Regions from separate parts of the Mus musculus genome. Here all the other regions are reported to be linked to region 1. Evidence: microRNA targets listed by miRTarBase, many of them from high-throughput screens and not tested one by one. Region 1 holds a microRNA gene; each other region holds the end of a gene's coding sequence. Distances are between the middles of the regions.
What was found. The annotated mature microRNA mmu-miR-181a-5p reads AACAUUCAACGCUGUCGGUGAGU and lies in region 1 at 861-883, shown strand. An mRNA with a match to its seed (bases 2 to 7 or 8) in the 3' UTR can be bound and repressed. Matches are read on the target gene's strand: a 7mer-m8 pairs with bases 2 to 8, a 7mer-A1 pairs with bases 2 to 7 and ends in A, and an 8mer does both.

Region 1 (3,080 bases):
TGTGTGTGTTTGTTCAAGTGCCTGTGAAGGCTTGAGTTGACAGATCCCTGCAGCAAGAATTGGTAGTTACAGATTGTGGTTAAGACAGGTGCTGGGATCAAAGTCCCGCCTAGAAAAGTACAAGTTCTTATCTGCTGAGTCATCTCTCCAGATACACTCTCTGTGCTCTAGTACACATAGAATTTTTACTTTTCCTATATGGGGAAAAAAAATCATGGAGCATCACTAGCACTTCTGTGGTAATTTAGCAGCCCATGATTCTCAGCTACTGAGTTTTGTTTTTCATCTTTTTCTCTGAAATATATGACTTTAGATGTATTTTCTACTATTACAGGCAAACAAGAAGGAATTTGCTTGTTTGATTTAGCTCTGCAGTAAAGGTTCAAATCTGAGACTGGTAAAGGAAGGAGAAAGCAACATATCCAACCAATACTGGAACAATGAACTCTGGTGTTCAAGTTCTGGCTATGGAACTCCGGGTAAGTCTCTGTTTCTTAAGGAAAACACGGTTGGAATTAAATATACAAATCCTACTACACATAAGTCCCCAGCATGTGTTATGGTCTTTCTTGTTTTTGTACATTAATAATTAAAGTATTACTACAAAATTGCTATATTGATGTTTTCAGAATGATAGCATTGAAAAATATTTCCACAGATATCCACTTTTAGTCAGCAATGTAAACTGCAGTCTCACAATCCTGCAGCTCATTTCTGCTTTATGCAAACTAACTTCACAGTGTAAGTACTGTTAACTTGAAATTTTGGGAAGAATGTGAGAGACCCAACAGCAGTGGTCCTTAGAATATGAGAGCAGGCCAAAGATGGGCAACCAAGCCAGCCTTAAGAGGACTCCATGGAACATTCAACGCTGTCGGTGAGTTTGGGATTCAAAAACAAAAAAACCACCGACCGTTGACTGTACCTTGGGATTCTTACAGACAACAAGTTTCCTGAAGCAAAGGAGTAGGCTGTACAGATATATCATGTGACAGACATCACAAGATACAGTCCTGTGGCCTCTTTTCTAAAGGGAACCAGCAAGTTTTTTTTTTAAGCTTCCATGTATTTATATTGTCTATTTTTTGTAATTTCTTGATAAATAAGTGTTTCATTTTAACAATTTATGGGAAGTGCCATCATAGTACCAAATGCACTCAAATATCTTCTAGAAATGTGTCATTCTAGTCAGAAATAGGGTGTATTAAAAATGTCTATTTACTGTAGGAAAAAAATCTAGTTAAGTCTTTTATTCTCATTTCTTCTACGTCCTTTCAAATTTTTGCTTTAGGGTCAAGAGATTTACTCAGCAAAAATACTCACAGAGTTACTCACTGTCTATACAAATCATATTGTGCCTCCAGTTTCAGTTACTGCGGTTAGGGATTTGACATCTCCATGAGAGAACCAGATACATTTCCATCTCCATGTGCTAATTTAAGGAATTCTGGGTCATCTCTGAGCCTCCGTATCCAAGTATGTTTTCTCAAATGTAGAATAGGAGAGGAGAGAACCTCAGAGTTTTAATTTAATGAGAAGATATATGAGGGTACTTTGAACAGTTTCTGGCTCACAGCAAATGTTTACTACAAAAATTTTTACTTAACTGCAATCATAATCTATACTGCTTTACCTTGAAAAGGGCACTTAACGTCTCAGCTTGAAACAAAAGATGAAGCAATGTCTCTGAGGGCTCCTTTACAGACATCAACATCCAAGTCTCAGCCCATGTGATCAGAGCTACTTACAAGGTTCTCACATAGTGCCTTCTTCCTCACAACTTTTCTGTCTTGAACAAGTTCTTGCTATACAGTCAAGGTGATCTATAATTATGAGTCCACAACCATACAGATGACTAGTTACTAACATACAACAGACTTCAAAGAACCATAGTGGGAAGAAGAGCCAGGAGATAGAAAAGACCAAGACAATTTCATCAAAAGGAAACATTGATGGCTGCACTCAACATTCATTGCTGTCGGTGGGTTTGAATGTCAACCAACTCACTGATCAATGAATGCAAACTGCGGGCCAAAAAACGCAAAGAAACAAAAGTACTCCCAGAGAGTCACCAGAGTACGGAAGTACTGCTCCAGGTGGGACCTCAATCTTTTATCTAAAGTCTCTTTAGTTTCTTTGCTTCTAATATGGAAGAAGCTCTATAATTCCTAGTATTTTTTATTTTCTTCTCAAATATTCCAAGTTTTGGGAAATTTATATTATCACAGGCAAAAGGATTAATATGCCTTGACATCATAATATTTAAAAATAATACTTAAATATACATAATTATTTTAAAATAAAAGTATATGAAAAGAATTTAAATCTATCCTCATCTCAAATACATTCCTTCTATGAAAACTACATAAAAACATCCATTTAATAGTATTACTCACACAACATAAAGAAAAATTTTATACCTTTGAAGACTTATCTACATGTATAAAAACAGAGGCAAAACTGTAATTCAGGGGAAGTTCAATGGCAACAAAAGGAACTCACTGCTCTTCAATTTACCTTTACACTCAGCTATATACTTTAAGCTTAACAAACCACATTTACTATTATTTTGGCTATTTGTTAATTGTTTTTGAGACATAGTCTTACATATCCTATGCTAGGTAGCTGAAAGTGGCCTTGAATTTCTGATCCTATGTTCTCCTAACTAGGATCACAAGTGTGTATCACCAAGCCTGGTATTGAAACCAAGGTTTTGTATGTGATAGGCAAGCAGTCTACTAATAACTGCAGCACCTGTACTTTATGTTAGTGTACATGTACATATTTTGGTGCATGTGTAAGCCAGGGTAGGTGTTAGGTGTCTTCCTTAATCACTCTCCACTTCATTGTCAAACCTGAGGCATGCCAGCAGGCAACCAAGTTCCAGGAGGCATCTGTCTCCACTTTCTCAAGTCTGTATGTTTCCATGGTGAACACTCACTGAAGAAGTCATCTCCCCATTGCCATCGATCCTTTCTCATTCTTTTGAATGACTGTATGTCTTCGTATGAATACTTTGGTTTTTATTGTTTAGACACATTAAAAAAAAAAAAAAAACCTCTCCTGGCCAAAACCATCTA
Region 2 (3,080 bases), not on the chromosome of region 1:
TAAGGGCTTCTGATGTGAGAGGATCTAATGTAGGTTTTCCTACAAGCATTTAAATTTGTTTTTGTTTTTGTTTTGTTGAGTTTCTGATGCAGAATATATTAGATCTGATGACACAGGAGTAAGAGCTCTTCCCATTATTCCAGACTATGTGCTCATTAGCACGACCCTCTCCTTGCCAACCCCCATCCCCCAGGAACAGTGATGATCCTATACGGCAGGACTGCCCTCTGATGGCCATGGATAAAAGCCAACCTCTCCTAAATTTGCATCTAAACCAGTGGCTCTCAACTTTCCTAATGCTGCGACTCTTTAATACAGTTCTACTCATGTTGTGGTGACCCCCAACAAATTACTTTGTTCATATTTCAAAACTAATTTTGCTACTGTTATAAATCATAATGTAAATATCTGTTTCCCGATGGTCTTAGGAGACTCCTGTGAAATGGTTATTCAACGCCCCCCCCCCCCCAAAAGGGTTGCAACCCACTGCTCTATACCTAATCCCAGAATTCTGACTGTAAGGAAGTAGCCAGGGCAAACACTATAGTAAATATTCATACCAAAAGCAAGTATGTGTTTTATCAATGCAGACTCATGTCAGTTTTTGAAATGTCTTAAGAAAACACTTGGTTTTCAAGAGTCAAGTCCCCATAACTCCACAGAAATGTGTCTTTGTCCTTAAAACTGCATTTATCTTGTCTTTCTTCCCCCAAAGGAAACTGGACAGAGAGGTCAGAACTGGATTTGTTATTCATACATTTGCATTGATTTAAATACAATACATACAATTTCTACAGTGCATTAGAAGAACAGGGCAGCAGCGCTCACCAGCCAGCTTCAGCTCCTAGACACAGGGGACAGGCCTAAGGCTGGCAGAGGGGCGGCTGTTCTGAAGTACCTGACACTCTGGGCTCCTGGCACTCCCAAGTCCACATTCAAGGCAACTTGAGTACAAGCTTCGAGGGAGGGAGGCAGGTAAGGCTGCCTGCACCCTTGCCCACTGGGCCTGGCACCGGCCCCCTCTTCCATTGGACCCAATTTCCTCCTGATGGCAAACCTGGTCTGGGGCAGGACTAAGTTCTCTCCAGCACTCCAGGGGGAAGTCTCGCCACCCGGCTGGTGTGGAAACATCTGTGAAGACCGGCACACACCTGGACCCCTGCTGGCTCCTGTGGCGAGGAGAGAGAGAGATTCTCTCAAACAAGGTTCTGAGGCCAGAGTCCACGTGGGCTGGATGGGATTGTCAAGATGGGGCAAACAACAGCGACTGTCCATTGGGCATGCATATCCAGTGCTTGGAGATTCATGTTGCTGAGTGAAAGCCCATAGCAAGCTGGCTCCTGGGTTGGAATGGGCAGGGAGCAGCCTGCCACACCTGACAGAAGGCTGTCTTCAGCCCTGCCTCTAGGCGGTGGGAGCCCGGCAAGCAGCTGAGGCACAGTTGTGCTCCTCACTCCAGGTCTTTGGTTGTTTCACGCCTTCAGGACATTTCTTTCCAAGGCTGACTGACCAACTGTAGAGTGTGAGAACACTCAAGGGTCCACAGCACAGGGTGTGACCACTGCCGCTGCCTACGGCCTCTCGGCCCCCTTTTCACTCCCTCCTGAAGTCAGTTCTCTGCTTTGGTGTAGAAAGGGTTCAAACACCTGGCAAGGGAGAAGACATGGAAGCAGGAAGATGCACGCTGAGCTGGGCAGGCACTGGGGAACTGTCCGAAGGCCTCTCTTCAAGAAGCTGAGAAGAAACCATCCCAAGACGGAAGGCAGGAGCCAAGGGGCACGCCGGTTAGGGGGCAGAACACGGTCCTGTTCTCTCCAGGCAGCAGCAGTTAACACATGAAGAACAGAGATGCTGTCCTGGCTGCCCATGAACCTACTGACCCACAACACCTACTGAGAGCCACTCCAGAACCCAAACTGAACTTCTCATTTTAAAATGGGGGAAACTAGACTACCAAACAGAAAGGTAGGGAAGGCCGCAACTAAGGACCAGGAGTGAGGCTGTGCCAGGCTCCCACAGAACCCTCCTAGCACCCAGCATGCAACCAGGCCAAGTCAATCACCTCCGCGTCACACAACCACTCCTGGCAGAGCACACTGCCAAGGCTAGCCCCTCCCACCTCAGATGAGTGCCGGGCAAGTTACAGCAGGGCAGAGAAAAAGCCTGTGTGCAGAGCCTTAGAGGAGCAGAGCATGAACCTGCTCACTGCCACACGAAGTCAGTACCAGTGTGGCAAGAGGAGGCTCAATTTGGCAAAACCAGAAAGGAATGGCTTCTGTCCGTGGGCCAGCGATGGACCTCTGACCGCTCAGTTCATGGAGTAAACAAGTGCTAGGTATCAGAGCGCCTGTGTCTGAGCAAATTTAGGTTCTAGATTAAGGGCTTCTGATGTCAGAGGATCTAATGTAGGTTTTCCTACAAGCATTTAAATTTGTTTCTTTTGTTTTTGTTTTGTTGGTTTCTGATGCAGAATATATTAGGTAACCTGGATGGAGAGGGTTGTCAGGGAGAGATGGGACTTTCCCAACCAGCCACCAAATGCTAGGAGGGAGTGGCTCCTCCTCAGCCGCCTGAGCTCCTTGCCTGGACAGGAGCCTCCCCAACACTCTGAAGGTCCAGGAACACTCTTGTCCCCCCATTGTGCTTCTCCCTGTGGGTAGGAAAGCCCTGAGGGAGGTGACAAGCAAAGAGGAAGGGCTCTGAAAGGCTCTGCTGTGCGCCCGCCAGCTTCTCTGGCTTCTGCGAACCTGGGACTCCAGGCTTCCTCCCAGCCTGTCACCTGCAGGATTTCTTCTGCCTGCCTCTGGGGCTACCACCATGAAAAGAAGGGCTTCCGACTCTGAAAGCTCTGTGTGTAGGATTCGCTTGCAGACCGCTGGTGAGAGCGGGCCGTCTCGACAATCACAGGTGGCATCTGGACGAGGTGCAGGGGGCTCTTATTGTCTTTCAGGGCCTGGGTCAAATTTAGGATCTGCATTGAAAAGAGAAAAGGTGAAAGGCCTAGTATTCTAAGCCTGCCTCTGCAGTGTCATCCTTCATGTCAAAAACAAATGCCAGCGGAAGTACCATGGAAGCAGGCT
Region 3 (3,080 bases), 140 Mb from region 1:
AGTGGGGTCACTGGCTAGGGAGAAACAGAATGCTCAAGACGTAGTCAGCCTTGTCTTCTCCTGTATCCTCCTGAGTTCAGCCTTGTGTGTGTGTGCTGCTTCTCTGATTGGCCTCTTTTAATCAATCCTGTCTTTCTTTCTACCTTTCTTCCTTTAAGAATCTCTGAATCTCTGCTCTACTTTCTTGGTCATGTCTGTCTGTTTATTTGTTTGTTTTATCCTGATAGACTCCTATGCTTTGCTTCTGTTTGCCTCACTGCCTTCCCTTCTCTCTCCCTAGGCCGAGCTCTGCTTCGACTGAATGCAGATAAGCTGCAGAGAATGGGGTTGACCCAAGAGGCTCAGAGGCAGGAGGTGCTGCAGCAGGTACTCCACCTGCAGGTTCGTGAGGAGGGGCGGAGCCTGAAGCTGCTCAGCCAAGGTTAGTATCAGGGACCAGGATTAGGGGGAGGGACTAGGCTGAAGGTGGAGGGTGACTTTTCTCGACACAAAAGGGGGCCATCCAGTAAGGACCATCCTTGGGTGTGCCAAAACTCAGCTTTTCCTCCTATCCATCCTACAGCTTCCTTCGGAAACATGTCCTAGCTGCTGCCTATACTTGGACCCCAGACCCCAACACTGTGACCAGAGCCCACAGCCAAGAATGAGTCAGAATTGGCCCTACAGCCCCTTTGGATCCTGCAGGATACCCTAGTGGCTAAACCTAGCCCAGTGATCAGGGAGGAGCAAGACTTCCACCTCCAGGTGTCTCTGGAGAGGCACTACAGGTTCTGCCCTGTGGCTGGGTGGGTGGTTGTTGCCTGCTTATAGACCCTTCTTCTGAGATCCAAGCCCAGGTCCCATCCCCTGGTGCTGCTGGCAGCAAACAGGGTAGCTGCCTGGAACTAGAATGGGGTTTGAATGTCCCCAGACTCCCAGGGAGTCTGTTTATTTATTCTCCCTCCAACATGTGACCATCCCCCATCTGAGTCATGAGTCTTCCCCTTAAATCTTAGTTCTGTGTCTTTCCCGGGCACCCCCAGATCAGCCACACAGTGGGCCAAGCTGTCTTGGCTCTCTTTCAAGTATATCTGTCCCCTAGCTCTCCTAGAGTACAGCAGGCCCAACCTGCTGTCCATACTAATGGTGATCAATCATCATGCCATGTGCTTACTCGGTGATTATGAAACGTCAGTATACTCTACCCACTTGTTAGAAGTGAGGTTGAGAGGGGTCCAAGATGCTCAAGCTGCAAACCCAGTAAGTGGCACGGATTCCAGTGCTGTACAGGTGACTCTATGCACAGCCCACCAGTTCAGCAATGTTCTCAATCTTACCTTTGAAGAAGTCATGCTTTTAAACAGCTTCCCTATTCCCTGGCTCTTAGTAGAGACCATATTGAAGAATGTGTGTTTGTGTCTGTCTGTCTGTCTGTGTTCATGTGCACCTCTGTGGCTTTCCCAAGAAAACCTGTTCTCAACCAAGAAAATCATGTAGGGCAGTTCTTTCATGTGTCGCCAGACACCTGGACAACCCCTCCTTGGGTATTTGGGGGCTGTTGCTGCCAGGAAGGAGGACAAGGAGGATGACCCTGGCAGCTCACTCTCACTCTGCTCTCTACCAACGTTCCCAGGGACTCTAAAATCTCAGGGACAGTTGAGGCTCAGCCTCCAGTCCCCTCTGTGTGCCAAGAGCTGGCCTCGATTCAAGGTTGCTCATTACAGTTAATTTGGGCCATTGGCCTGGCATCTTCCATCCTGTATGCCCTCCATCCATGGAAGGGGGCTCCCTTATTGTGTTTGCCTGCCTCTAGAATCCCCCAGTCCTGGTGCCTGCAGCCAGAGGGCCCTCTCTGTCCCCCCTCTCTCTGTCTTTTCTTCCCTATGCCCCTGTCCTTTCTTCCTTGGTTTTTGGTCACTTTTTATATATACTCTGACAAAAAAAAAATCAGAAATAAATCTGGTTCTCAAATGCCTCAGTGTTGGGTCTCTGGGGAGCAAAGGGGTGTCTAGGACAGTGCCTGCAGATAGAACACCACTAGAGGGCAGTGGTGTTGCATCCTGAGAAAGCTACCTGGTAATTCCAGGACATCAGAACAAACAAGATGTCTCAAGTAAAAAAATAAAAAAATAAAACATCCTTGTCGCAGAGAGAGAAAGAGAGAGAGAAAGAGAGAGAGAGAGAGAGAGAGGGAGGGAGGAAGAAACTTAAAAAGTAAAACATGTCTCAAGTCCTTGGATATCATCCCAGTTTGGGACATAGCAACCCTGACAGGCTCAAAACAATAGTTTGGACACATGGAATGAGGCTTTCTGGAGCTGATCTAGCAGCGAATTTTTGCTGGTTCATGGTCTGGGAGTATAGCTCAGTGATATTGGACATGGTTTGTGTCCCAAATCACGGTTTGATCCCCAGCAAAGAAACAGAAACAGAGGTGTTCTAAAAGTGGAGCAGAGTTCTTTATCTATTCAGCTTTGTAGTGGCTGTCTAGTATTCCTGAGCTAGAGGCTATATCACAAATCTATTTCTGTGGTCATTCTCGTCTGCCTCTCAAATATCTTCTTTAAATTTAGGGTTCACTTAGTCCAAATAGATCTCAGAAACGTCAGTTACATCTACAAAGACCCCTTTTCCAAATAAACTATCACTACAGCTTAACATGGTTATTTGTTGGGGCTTACTCTTCAGCCATACCCTGACATCCATAGCACATGAATCACACACTCTGAACACAATAACCAGACATTCAAATAGGAACATTGAGGTATAGGCCACAAACATAGTGACACAACACCCAGACATGCTTAAATATGTACAAACACACTTGCACAATTGGCCAATGATCTGTGCAAAGATTTATAACATCCCCATATGCACAGATATAATTACCCAAGTGCATAAATACAATACATAATCACTAACACTAGACATGACATAACCCATGGTGCACATAAGTGCATTGCAAAATGTCTTGACACTTAGATACACACATAAAGAAAAATTGCAGGGAGGTGGGGCTAGAGAGAGAGAGAACACAGTTGCTGTTCTTGCAGAATTGAGTTTCCAGCACCCTCTTCAGGCAGTTCACAGCTTCAGGGAAT
Region 4 (3,080 bases), 11 Mb from region 1:
AAAAATATACACTGCAAATAGTTTCTTTTTTTTTTTTCTTGGTCTTCTGCAAAAGAAACACACATTGTGTCTTCAAATATACTTAGAGCTGTATGGTAATACTGACTTTGACTAAAAAGGGGGTACTCCTTCCAGTAAGGCAGAAAAGTGCAGTTTGTCTGATATTTTGCCTACACCAATGAAAGGATGACCCAGCACACAAGTCATTTTGTATTTTAAACAAATGCACACATACAAGTAAAACCTCTCTTCCCACGCTTACTGCCTCCAAAGGAATGCATCTGCCCAGTGTTCTGAAAAGTTCCAAGACATAGCAGAGCTGGCAGCACACAGAGCAACCGCACAAGCCACCCTTTAACTTTCAGCCCTGGAGAAGTGCTGGAACTGTGCGCATGGGTAATTGAAATGCATCCTATGAAGCAGGTACAACCAGCGAAGGAAGGAAGGAAGGAAGGAAGGAAGGAAGGAAGGAAGGAAGGAAGGAAAGAAGGAAGGAAGGAAGGAAGGAAGGCTGAAATTGTCTATTTTACTTCAAAAGGAATAAATCAACTGGCCATTAATCAGTCTTTTGTAAGTTCTGGACTTGCTATCACTTCCAGAAACTGTACAAATACATAGTTCTCATTTCACTTATTTATAATGCACACACACACACACACACACACACACACACACATATATCACATAAGGCAAATTAACTTCATGCTTTACTTCAGCAAAATGGGGGGAGGGGAGAAGCTTTCTCTGAAATTAGCACTGAGTTGTTTCAAATTCTTAATAGCAAGATACATCCAACTGTAAGCAGAATGAACATAGTCACATACATATCAATCAAATTATTTCCTTTATATCATCAGCAGTGAACCCCAGAGGTAGTATGGCAAAAACGAGCATGGATCCTATCAGGTCACAACCGACAAAGTAATTAAATTTATTTTTCCCCTGTGGTTTTGACCATAAATTGCTTTACATTTAGGATCTGAATAAACCACTCTCAGCAGAAATCCTGGCCCATTAATTTAAGTGACAATAAGTTTACAACTTTCAGGACTGCAGATATAAAAAAGGTATAAAATTATGTTCAGTTTGAAATGGTTTTTAATTGTATTCATTAAAAATATTTACATTTCCCAGGACTTCCAAAACCCCCTTGCAATATAATTCTACACTATACTCTATATATTTATAAAATGAGGCTCATTTATGAGATTTCAATGACTGCTATACTGCAAATTACTTACATTCTGTAAAATATTTTAAGAACTTTCATAGCAAAGGTAGTTTATATTGGATTATCTGAAACCCAATGGAGCCCAGAGGCGAGCCTTCGACCTTCTCCTCCATGCCTGAAGGCCTGGGCGACAAGTGCTGTGCGGGCTGGCCTGTCCCTCCTGTCCTCCCTCACTTGCGCTGTGTGCACATGGTGAAATAAACACATATGCAGCATGGCCGTGTTTTGATATGTATTTTTTATTTCCCTGCAGTTTTCACTTATCAAGAACAAGTAACAGGGAAAGTTGTCTGAACTAGTGCATAAACAAACATTCTGAAACACCACTACACGTATCTAATTTACAAGAACCGTATAAAAAAGTCACTAAACACTACGCTATGAAGGTGTCCAACACTTACAGTCAGACGGTTTCCAACCCGTTACTTGCCTTGTAGCCACAGGAAAACTCTCCAAAATTGAAAAGACAATCTCGCCACAACCCTCCCCCCTCCCAAAACCTGGGATGGCTCGATATATAGACTTCCAATAATTATTGCAATGATATGATGCAATACATACCTGGTAAATATCTTTTATGTGGTGTGTTACAGTTTTAAAGCCAGTTAAAATATGCAGTCTTCAGATAAAATGTAATCCATGAAAAATTTTCATATCTGCACAGTTTAAATGTGCTAGATGCATAATTTCCTAGTCCACTTTTTCTGTGTAATTATTTTTTATAAACTGGTATTATAAATAGAAATATACATTCAAAATATATGGAAAAGTGAGTTACTACATTAAATTTGCATGTATCGATCCATCCCTTCCCCTGCACAGTAATAGAAAATACTATTTTGCCTTGAAGTCGTATTTGACAGTGAAATGCCACTAAAGTATTTACCAAAAAGTCCATCTAGTCAAATTGTGAAACAAAATGAACCAAGTGAAAACTTTACAGTTCCTTTAGAAAAAAATTACAAGAATTTCATTTCCTAGCTATGAATCTTTAACTTTTTAGACACAAAGTTGGATTTATTTTTTTTACAAGATACAAAATGTAAACATGGCAAAATAAATAGTTAAAACAAGTGATGCAGGATCCCATTTCATGCTCATGATCCCATTAAAGAATTATTTTTAAAATCCATTCAGTTGCAAATTCAAGTGCAAAAGCATGATGATGAATATCTACTATTCAAGTAACAGAAATAATATTGATGATACAAATAAACTATTTTACAAGGTAGTGATTTTCCCAATTTTACAAAATATACATCATATATCGACTTAACATCCGGTATACTGTACTCCATTTAGGTCCATTGTTCTGCTCTGTGATCCACAGAGTGCCACCCGCCTTTGTATTCCGCTGGAATAGGAATGACTGCAACCATCCACACAGGTCAGGCCACGCGCCTTCCGTTATGTCACCTCCATAGCTACTGTTGTCTCTGCTAGTCCATTTAAACCCAGTCTTTCTGGTTCATGGTTCTCTCTGTAAGAAGGTAAAGAGGACAATAAGCATTAGTACTCCTGAGAATACACTGACCATGTATAAATCCCATTTTTAAGTAACTATAACTAAACATAATTCTAGAAAACTCCCCATTTTTATCATTTCTCGGCAGGAATGAAGAGGTTTTCTTCAGTTCAGAAATTCCATTAATTTCTAATACTAACAATAGATTAGGGAATATAACACAATTAATTCAAGTTTCTTTTTATAGGCTTAAGATCATAAACTTTTTAACCCATGCAGATCAATTTTCTTCTGCTTTACTGTTTTCCTTGCAATAGTGCTATTGAAAGGAACATAAAAACTTGCCCTGCAAAACTTGAAAATTCATCAAATTTATACGCACAC
Region 5 (3,079 bases), not on the chromosome of region 1:
CATGCAAACCTGGATGTGCTGCTGATGGCTTCGTGGCAGGAGCTGAGTCAGTACGTGTGTGCCTTCACCAGGGCCCTCTCGCAGCTCCCCTCGAAGTATGCATCTCTGCAGGGGCCGAGTGGACACAGGCCAGGGTCGGAGGGCTGCACAAATGGGGTTCTCAAAGCGTCTGTCTGGGTGTCATTTCAGGCAGCACCGGGACTCCCAGGCCTTTTCTTTCTGCACAGCAGGGCACTGGGCCTCAGGCCAGCAAGTGACCAGAGATGGCTCTGGGCTCAGAGGAGTGTGGTGGCGACAAATCAGACAGTTCAACCGGGTCAGCCCAGCTGTGGCTGACGCTGTTGTTACTGCCTTCCCATCACCCCGCCTTTTGCAACAGGTGAGTCCCCTAAATCCCTCCTTCCAGGATCAGGACTTACCGTCCACCCCTTACACTTGTGCCTACTCCAGGCTCTCCTGGACTGCAGCACAGAGCAAGAACGCCTGAGCCTCCTAGCTGATCTCCCTGTGAAGGCCCACAAAGGCAAGCAGCCTCGCAGAGTGGGGCCTGACCTCTCACGCAGAATCTGTATCTTCTTGACAACCACCAACCCTGACCTCCTGCTGGACCTGAGCTCTTGACCTGTGCCATCCTGGGGTCACCTCCTGCCCATCAGTACAACAGGACAAGTCTGCCTAAGAATCTAATTATTCTGAGAGGCAGGCAAGGAGGTTTGGGTCCAGCCCATACCTTTTCAGACTGTGGTAGATAGACTCTGTTGCCTGATGGTCAAATGGAAATACCATGGGAGGTGGGTGAGAGGGTAAGGGAAGCTGAGGTGAATGGAAGAGTGGAGGGTAGTGGCCACTTGGTGCAGGAGGCTTAGTAGTAGGCCTGAGTGCTGAGTTGTACTATTACATCCTCAGAGAGAGGTGCTCAGAGATCCAAGCCAAGCTCTCTCAAAGCCGCTGGACAGAGACAGATAAACAATAGACACAGGCAGCTTGGGCATTTGTGAAGGCTCTTTTAATGATATAACATAGAGGGACAAGACAAAACCCCTTCACAGGGCACCCACTGCCATCTCTGCAGCAGGAGCTGACAACATGCAGTGCAAGTCAGGAAAGCCCCACGGCCCCGTGGGTGGGGACAGCCCATCTTCTCCCCGGGATATGAATGCACTCCCCTTCGTCGGCCAGCCTCCCGGGCTTGGAATCTAGGTTCACAGGTGCCTAGCTGCAGTTCCCAAGACACGTGGCAACTCAAAGGACAAATAGGAGTACGGCTTCCCTACCAGCACAGGCAGTAGAATGACCTTCACTCCATGGTCACCGGAGAAGACTGTCCTGGCCTCAGGGAGATAGGGAAAAGCCTGGACCTCAGTTCTTCCCTCTCCTGCTGCCCTGGAAGGGCGAGAAAGAGGAAGGTATCTGCGTTCCCAGGGGAGAAGTCAGCTTCTTCGGCAGCGCTTCCTCTGACAGGGCCTGGTCTCCAGACTCTCGGCACCAGGTGTAGCTGTGCCAGGAGGGGGCACAGGGGATTTCCAGTGGTTGCAGTTCATGCTCAGAACCCAGCCCAGCTTGTTATGCAGCACTTGCTTGAGGCCAGGTGGCAAGGGCAGGCCCTCGAGGGTGTCCCCTGAATTTGGCCGCAGTTGGCGCAAGCGGTAGCAGCACAGGTACTGCAGGGATGTGGAGCTGGCGCAGGAGCGGATGACTTTCATGCTGCTCTTGGCAGCCGTGGAGCAAACCATCGGGTAGAACCTTCTGTTTTGAAGCCGAGTAGCAGCCACTCCTGGGAGGAAGGCTTAGCCTGAGTGCCATGTGGGTTGGGAGCCAGGAAGCTCCTCCTACAAGGCACCACGGTAAGCAGCTCAAATAGTCTGAACACAGAAAATACTCTGGTCTGGCCTGGTAACCCCAATCTGCTTCAGGCCTGCCCACCCTCCCTCATCTGTCAGGAGCCTCAAGTCAGACTGCCTGGCCCCACCCCTAAAGGCTCTACAAAGGTACCTCACCTATGCACTTCCTGTTCTTGAAGAATGTCAGTGTCCCATGCCAGGTGTCCAAGTGCACACCAATAATGGAGCCCTGGCCAAAGCGTGAAGAGAAGCTCGTCTTGTCACCTTTGTGGTGGAGGAGCCCTGCGAGGAGCAATGGGGTGATCCTGGGAGGTCTGCTGTACTGCCAGCCCCACCCATGACCCAGGCAACACCTACCAGTGTAGGAGAGCCCCCAGCTGTCCTCATCCCTGCCCAGCAGGCTGCAGAACGTGTGGTGGTACTTGTCCAGGTCTACATCCGACGTCCCAATGCCCACCATCTGTAAATAGTGGGCCTGGACAGTTAGATGCCTAGCGGCAGGGCCCATGGCATCTACCCTCTTGCTTGGCCATTTACCATGTCTGTGCCATACACTGGAGAGGTCATCTTGATTTCCCAGAAGTGTTGGCCATCCCCTAGCTCCTTGGTGCCCCGAATGGCTGCAGTGCCACAGCTATACTCCATGTGAAAGCTGACCTTGCGATTATCACAGCTCAGCAAGGTGGCTGAGGACTTGTTCAGGTCATCCCAGACCCAATCAAAATCTGTAAGACAGAGGGCCTAAACTAGGGAGGGCTACAGCTAAACGGTGCCTGCCTGGTCCCAGGGAACCTGCCCAGCCCTCCACACGTCCCAGCGGCAAGACACGTACCCTCATCCTCCTCACCACACCGGCAGTCCTTGCCACGGTGTGCTGTGTGCAGACTGTTGCAGAAGGTAGCCTCATTCTGGCCCTCGCAGTCACAGAAGGACTCTCCTGTCACAGGCACAGCACTGGGGATGGATGGTGGCAGGGAGGAGTACTCAGGGTCAGAGTCGGAGTCGCTGTGCTGGAAGGGAGGGAAGGGGTAGGTCACTCTGTTTATGACAAATCCCTTCTCAAATCCACCAGAGAAGCAGCCAGACACCTGGCGCTCTCCAGTGCTCAACATAATCAACCTGAGTGCTAAGACTCCAATGAGATGGGAGGTGGCCCTAGGGGAATGGCTTCTTACTTGGCTTCCTCTGCCCCATTTCCCCCCAGAAGGTCTGACTACCATAGGCCACACAGCATCCAC
Region 6 (3,080 bases), not on the chromosome of region 1:
CACATCCCCATCACACTTCAGTGATGACTACGATGACACAGATGACGATGACCCTTTCAACCCTCAGGTATCCTGGTGTGAAGGGAGGAGGCCTGGGGCCTGAGCTCCTGGGTCTCTTGGAAGGGGAAATGAGTATTGCATTCTCGGGTCTGAGAAGAAGAGAAATGAGACTGGACCTCTGGGTCTGAGGTCCTAGGGGAACAGGGATGAGTCTTGGCCATGAGGGAGGAGGCTGGGGTCTGGAAGCCTGGGCCCGAGGGAGGAGAGAAGGGCCCCCACGTACACAACAGATTCTGAGTGTCTTTCCTGCCCTGGTTATCCTGCCAGGAATCCAAACGCTTTGTGCAGTGGCAGTCTTCCATCTGAGCCTCCCCTCCAGTCTGGAGCCTGCCTCTCCTCTATGGTAACCTTCAATGTGTACAGTTGGGTCTTGGCTCTCCCCTACAGTAGTTGTAGCTCTCTTATGTTGGGTGGATGTCCATGGGAGGGTCTCCAGTGAATATCAGCTCTTCATTTCTCCCTCTCTCTAGCTCCTTTCCTGGCTGCTGGAGAAGGCCCCACTAACCTGACCTTGACTGGGCTCTGACCACTAACACTGCTGGCTATGGACATCTCACTTAGGATGGCAACCTGCTCTGGCCCTAACACCCACCCCCCCATCCCCATTTCTCCTTAGCACAGGGGATTGCTGAGGTGGCACAACAGGGACCAGGGGTGGCTGGGAAGGGGGCTGACCTATACAGCCTGGTGTTCCTCACCTCTGGCTGCCAGTCCTGTCCTTGGAGGGATGAAGCTGGAGGCAGGTACAGGCACGTCCCTGTTTCCTGCCATACCCCAGCGATCTCAACCTATGGCACTAACTTGGAAGAGGGCTGATTTGAAATAAAAGGGAAGGCTTTATTTTACAAGCAGCTAGGTCCTTCTTATCCACCCCAACTACTGAGAGAAGGAAGTCCTGACTGGGCTAGGGACACTCCTCCTCTGGTGGTTGAAAGGCAACTCTCCTCTTGTCCAGGCTCAGCACTGCATTGCTTCTATAAGTAACATGTGAATCCTGACAAGGGGGAAGAAGCAGATACCGGAAGAGAATAAGCCTAGCACTAAATCTAAACAGGCGTGCAGCCACAGGAACAGTCAAGCTTCCAGTCCCGTGGAATGTACAAAGCCTGCTGGGTTTAGGAAAGGCGTGGAATCAACTTGCTTCCTAGCAGCTCACACCCAGCACAAGACTCCAGAAAACCAACGCTTGTATCAGAATAGGGACAGAAGTCTTCGAAGAGAAAGTAGAATATTTGCTTGTAGTGCCACCAGGGTGATATGAAGGGGGAAGGTTTAAGGAAGATATTATAAATCCAGGCAGGAAAAGATGAGGCACTCAATAAGTTATCAAGTAAAAACAAACATGGCAGAGTCAAAAGGGAAATTTATTGTCTGGGGAACAATATGTATGTAGTTCTCATTTGTTTAAAAAACAAATAGCATACATGGCAAAGAAAAACGTGGTTAATACATAAACATAATTCAAAAAGCTTCTATTATCTAACAAAAAAGACCTCAATTTAATAATAAGTAACTGAGAAAAACAAAAACCCCAAAACAAATGGATAAAATTGTCTTTTTTGTCTTTGTTGTTGTTGTTTTGGAGACAGGGTTTCTCTGTGAAACAGCCCTGGGCTGTCCTGGAACTCTCTTTGTAGACCAGGCTGGCCTTGAACTCACAGAGAAGAGCCTGCCTCAGCCTCTGCCTCCCTAGTGAGGAGATTAACGGCGTGTGACGGCGTGTATCACCACACCCAACTAAAGTGTTCAAATTCTAATGATTAGCAAACACAATGTGCTACTTTCCCCTTTCGAGTACCTATTTGTTGTGGGATTTAGAGTGGAGTGTGGGCTGGTGCTGGTCTGGAGGCCCAGGGAACAGGTTCTCTAAATATGCTGCCCAGAGACTGTGAATCACCAGCTATGTGAAAATAATAATAAACAAAACAAATAAACAAACATAAATATGCTTACATGTGAGAGGATAAAAACTGCATCTCTTATCCTGGTAATCCTTTGAGGGACCAGCTTCCAGAAAGAAATAAACAAGCAACCCCTGGCTCAGTTAAACGCTGGAGACAAAACTAATCTGCCACAGTGGGACTCTTCCCAAAGACCAGCAGCTCTGTAGGGGAGATGGCAGAGCAGGGTCCTCAAGTGACTACAGAAGCACCAGGGGTATCCCTGGTTCTTGCACAATGCTGGTTTGGATTCCTATGGGTCCTAGTCCTGGCACCTCAGTGTTAATGTAAGCAAGTTATTTGACTCACTGAACCTCTTTTTTTGGTTTTTCAAGACAGGGTTTCTCTGTGTAGCCCTGGCTGTCCTGGAACTCACTCTGTAGACAAGGCTGGCCTCGAACTCAGAAACCCACCTGCCTCTTCCTCCCAAGTGCTGGGATTAAAGGCGTGGGCCACCACTGCCCAGTTTTTTTTTTTTTTTTTTTGTTGTTGTTGTTGTTGTTTTGGTTTGGTTTAGTTTGGTTTGGCTTTTTGTTTTGTTTTTTTGAACCTCAGTTGTGTGGTAAAGCAAATGGGCATCATAAACCCAATAAACAGCTCTTGACAGGATGGGTAAAAAAGCAAGACAAATGCAACATGATGCTCTGGGTTACGCTATGGCGCACCGGAAACATTAGTGAGAAAAAGCGCCCACATCTGCGGCTTAGTTCAGAATATTAGAGCAATGTCAATTTCTTACTTTTAACAAATGAATTTGAGGTGTGGAATCTAGCAATAGGGGAAACTGGGCATAGTGTGCCCAATTCCTGTATTACTTTTGTAATTTCTGTAAACTTAAAATTTATTCTAAAATAAAAGTTCATTATAAAAAAGAGATGGGAAGAAACCTACCAAGCTAACACTAGCAAATGATACAGAGTTATCCAAGTGTTGTTTAATTACCAAAAGTTGCTTGTACAATGTGAGACTGGAAACTGGTCAATTGATGAACAATAATTGATAAGAAGGTAGTCTTATCAATTATTTTAACGGGAGATCCCAAGTTGGGCTGCATAATTCAATCACTCCTACTGTAAACAG
Region 7 (3,080 bases), not on the chromosome of region 1:
ATATACAAGAATAGGGCTTCCAGTCAGAGGGGACAGTGGTGTGAACCCCATTCGGTGACATGCTGGGAGGATGTCATTTCTTTCATTTCTATCGTGATGCCTCCTGTGGTTTGTGCCTCCTCTGAGAGAAAAGGTCTCTGCAATCATCTTCAGGGAGATGAGGTAGTGGTGGCCTTCCAGGTGTGGCTTGCTGGAGAGTAAAAGAGAACAGAGACTGGACGTTTGTGTGAAAGCACACGCCAGAAAAAAGTTCCCATAGGAACTATAAAACTCAGCCAAGGGCTGGAGCTGTCCCCTGAAGCAAGGAAGCCATGCCATTCTGTATGCCCTTCCTTCTCTTCAGCCTCAGGAAGGAGCAGTGGCCTTCCCGGGGGGCCTCAGCCTCACCTCACAGGGTGCAACGCTAGAATCTGATTCCTGTTGTAGGGAACCCAGCTCTACCCAACAACAGAGGGAGCTGGCTCAAGTACCCCTACCTGACGCTGTTCCCCAAGATTCCACCCTCAAGCCCCTCTCTCTGCTTTCTCTCTCAGGCACCGCCTAGAACCCTACGATCCCGCTTCAGGAAGAAAAGTACCTCATCCTCGGCCACTGAAACCACGTGAGATGAGCCAACAGCCCCGGATCCACACATGTCTGTCTCCTCTGCCTTAAAGAGCTAGTCACTAGTACCATGGAAGTCCGCAGGCTGGGTGTGCTTCGAGTGTGCAGCCCACGGACATGGCCTTTACTCGCTCCCCTCTTCTGCCTTTAAGACTCTTCTGTTCTTTCCTTTTTGTTCCTGCTGGGGAGAGGCTAAAGGGAAAAGGTGGTGGTGGAGGGTGACCTTTACGTCTTCTGGGGTTAGTGATTTTCCCCAATTGGATTGTCATTGTGGCCGCAGTGTTTTTAGATCTATAAGCACTCTTTCCATGATGCTGCTGAGATGTACATTTGTAATTTGTTTGTTGCATAGTTTTTAGTCCTGTAAATGCAAACGACGTGATCTTTTTTAAAAACCCTTTTGTTGTTCTTGGTACTAATACATTGGACTATGGTGTACATAGTTACAGCTTTTGGCTTAATGTAATGAACTCGCAAGGGCTGCCAGAAGTTCTGGTGAGAGAGCTGCAAAAACAAAAATGTAGACAAATATTTTAATTCTAGGCAATGTCTCCAACTTCCTTACAAAGGCAGTGCCAGTAAGGCATCCCTTCTCCTGCAGGAAGGCGGTGGTGTGCTTCTGGCGGCTGAGTGGTTGGTAGGTCAGAGCGGAGGCAGGAGTGCAGTGTTCCAGCAACAGGAAGAAAGTTGGTGGGCATCAGGGAAGAGGGAGGAAGAGTACGGCTTCTTCAGTTCTGGGTCCCTGGCTGTCCTAATAGGTTTGTTGTGCTGTACCTAATCTCACCCTTCCTGCCCTTTGGGGTCAAGAACAGAAGCTTCCGAGCCCTTTGGGGAGCACTGGCCCTGCTTCAGGCAGGCCAGCTCACCCTTACTTAGCACGGCCATTTAGGGAATGAAGATCAGCTGCTGGCAGAATTGTGAGTATCTCAGAAGGGCTTGGCAAGAGTGTTTCTCCTTCAGGGACCAGCGCTGTGGCCGACTTCTCCAGGAGCCTACATCTGAGCACCTTGTTTTAGAGTACACAAGGCAAAAAGAAAAGTCTAGAACTAGCTTTTGTTACAGATGTGCTCAAAACACATGAGACACTCAAATCTCAAATGGTCGCCAGAAGGCAGGGTCTAGGGAGGACTGAGGCTAAGCCACAGGCAGCTGTGGCTCTTGCTCCTTTCTGGCTTGTGTGGAAGGTGAATGGGAAGGACTGACACTCATGCTCACTCCATGTCTTCGTGGATGTTTTATACAAGCCAGGACTGCAGTGAGAATTTTGACAAGTCTCTGACTTAGATAACATTGCGTTGAGGGAGCTGCCCTCTCCTCTGATAGCTGAGCCAAATTGTAGGGCTAGTCTGTGTGTGCGTAGAGTTGGTGTTTTCGTTCCATGGAATGCATGCAGCAGTCACAACCCAGTTACTCCTATTTGGATTATATTTGTTCACAGCTATGCCCTGAAGGCTAGAGAAATAGTGTTGTATACCACATAGAACTGTCAACTGACTGCAAACAGGCTCAATTACAAACCGCTCTGGTACCGAGCTATGCAAACATGCACTGGGAGACTGCTCCATCAGCTGGGCCTTGGCCATTTCACAAAGGGTTTCAGTTGCGAGTTCATTGCTGCCAGATACACCTAATGGAATTTTCCAAAGGTGATTTTGTATTTCAGAACTAACCCAAGAGCTGATGACTGACGGTAAATAGTCTGCCTGGGCCCCATATCCATCTGAACCCATTAAGCAAAGCATCTGCCCTCTTCAAGCTCACCCCACAGCTCCAGACAAGAGAAGTGACACCCTTCAAACATACCAACGTGTCAGCTGGGTGTAGCCAGGATGAAGAGGAACAGGTGCAGGAAAGCCTGAGAGAAGCAGCTTTGCAGCTCCCCCTCCACCCCCCGAAATAATAAATGGCTTTAGAGACAGAGTTCAAGTCCTAGTGTATTTTCATCGTTTTACAACAGGAAGTCATAACACATCGAGGCTCTTGAGTTTGTACTCAGCCATGCCAAAACCCAGTTTGAAGCACTCCTCAGACATGCTGTATTACTTCTCGCTCAAGATTTAAAATATAAAGGTATCTAAATCGTTGTCTTATTGTAAATGTAACTCCTTTTCCTTCAAGTGTTGACTAAGTTGTTTCCTCTCTTAAAGACACTCACTGTACAGCCAAACACAGCTGTCTTACTTCTTGAGAACTGTGTTTACTTTTCTGACAAGCTGTGTATTTGTATGTAGACTGACATATGATGTGAATGACCTTGTATGTAGAAGTGCGGTGCTCTGTCTACGCAGGATAAATGAATGTTTCTAGTTCGCTGACTTAAGACACAGGCTGTTTACAAATCGCTAGCTCGAAGGTCTACTTGTCGCGGCTTTGAGTTACTCTCCATTTCTGCAGAGGTGAGGTGCAGTCTCCTGCTCATCAACTGGAGATTTAGTCATAATGCCTCCTGAGTTTGTGTGAATAGCTTGCTCACTTTG

Region 2: miRTarBase lists Pi4k2a as a target of mmu-miR-181a-5p. Seed matches in the 3' UTR shown: 7mer-m8 at 932-938.
Region 3: the mRNA of Samd10 is a reported target of mmu-miR-181a-5p. Seed matches in the 3' UTR shown: 7mer-m8 at 898-904.
Region 4: miRTarBase lists Epc2 as a target of mmu-miR-181a-5p. Seed matches in the 3' UTR shown: 8mer at 1,979-1,986 and 7mer-A1 at 1,239-1,245.
Region 5: the mRNA of Eme2 is a reported target of mmu-miR-181a-5p. The part of its 3' UTR that is shown has no 7-base or 8-base seed match.
Region 6: the mRNA of Ttyh1 is a reported target of mmu-miR-181a-5p. Seed matches in the 3' UTR shown: 7mer-A1 at 1,154-1,160.
Region 7: the mRNA of Reep1 is a reported target of mmu-miR-181a-5p. Seed matches in the 3' UTR shown: 7mer-m8 at 2,898-2,904.

Annotation. Positions count from the first base shown.
Region 1 is chr2:38,851,881-38,854,960 of GRCm38, forward strand. It overlaps Mir181a-2 (microRNA 181a-2), which reads left to right and starts at 855; the gene lies at 855-930. All of the region lies in intron 3 of Nr6a1 (nuclear receptor subfamily 6, group A, member 1), which reads right to left. Nr6a1os (a long non-coding RNA gene) reads left to right here. Exons shown (of 7, transcript XR_866167.2): 3 at 335-479. Mir181b-2 (microRNA 181b-2) reads left to right here and starts at 1,950; the gene lies at 1,950-2,038.
Region 2 is chr19:42,119,684-42,122,763 of GRCm38, reverse strand. Pi4k2a (phosphatidylinositol 4-kinase type 2 alpha) reads right to left here. Exons shown (of 9, transcript NM_145501.2): 9 at 546-2,971. The coding sequence ends at 2,810. Among named protein-coding and RNA genes, the nearest start is that of Avpi1, 7.8 kb to the left of the region's middle.
Region 3 is chr2:181,594,088-181,597,167 of GRCm38, reverse strand. Samd10 (sterile alpha motif domain containing 10) reads left to right here. Exons shown (of 5, transcript NM_172676.3): 4 at 281-421; 5 at 563-1,953. The coding sequence ends at 585. Among named protein-coding and RNA genes, the nearest start is that of Zfp512b, 3.2 kb to the right of the region's middle.
Region 4 is chr2:49,549,557-49,552,636 of GRCm38, reverse strand. It overlaps Epc2 (enhancer of polycomb homolog 2), which reads right to left. Exons shown (of 14, transcript NM_172663.4): 14 at 1,028-2,711. The coding sequence ends at 2,639. Among named protein-coding and RNA genes, the nearest start is that of Kif5c, 68 kb to the left of the region's middle.
Region 5 is chr17:24,890,055-24,893,133 of GRCm38, reverse strand. Eme2 (essential meiotic structure-specific endonuclease subunit 2) reads left to right here. Exons shown (of 8, transcript NM_001163102.1): 6 at 1-95; 7 at 190-379; 8 at 451-982. The coding sequence ends at 621. It overlaps Spsb3 (splA/ryanodine receptor domain and SOCS box containing 3), which reads right to left. Exons shown (of 7, transcript NM_001163751.1): 3 at 2,674-2,851; 4 at 2,379-2,566; 5 at 2,199-2,301; 6 at 1,998-2,123; 7 at 987-1,774. The coding sequence ends at 1,431. Among named protein-coding and RNA genes, the nearest start is that of Eme2, 3.5 kb to the left of the region's middle.
Region 6 is chr7:4,133,336-4,136,415 of GRCm38, forward strand. It overlaps Ttyh1 (tweety family member 1), which reads left to right. Exons shown (of 14, transcript NM_021324.6): 12 at 22-67; 13 at 328-403; 14 at 531-2,072. The coding sequence ends at 366. All of the region lies in intron 1 of D030047H15Rik (RIKEN cDNA D030047H15 gene), which reads right to left. Among named protein-coding and RNA genes, the nearest start is that of D030047H15Rik, 2.0 kb to the right of the region's middle.
Region 7 is chr6:71,807,258-71,810,337 of GRCm38, forward strand. Reep1 (receptor accessory protein 1) reads left to right here. Exons shown (of 7, transcript NM_178608.4): 7 at 534-3,080. The coding sequence ends at 544. Among named protein-coding and RNA genes, the nearest start is that of Mrpl35, 15 kb to the right of the region's middle.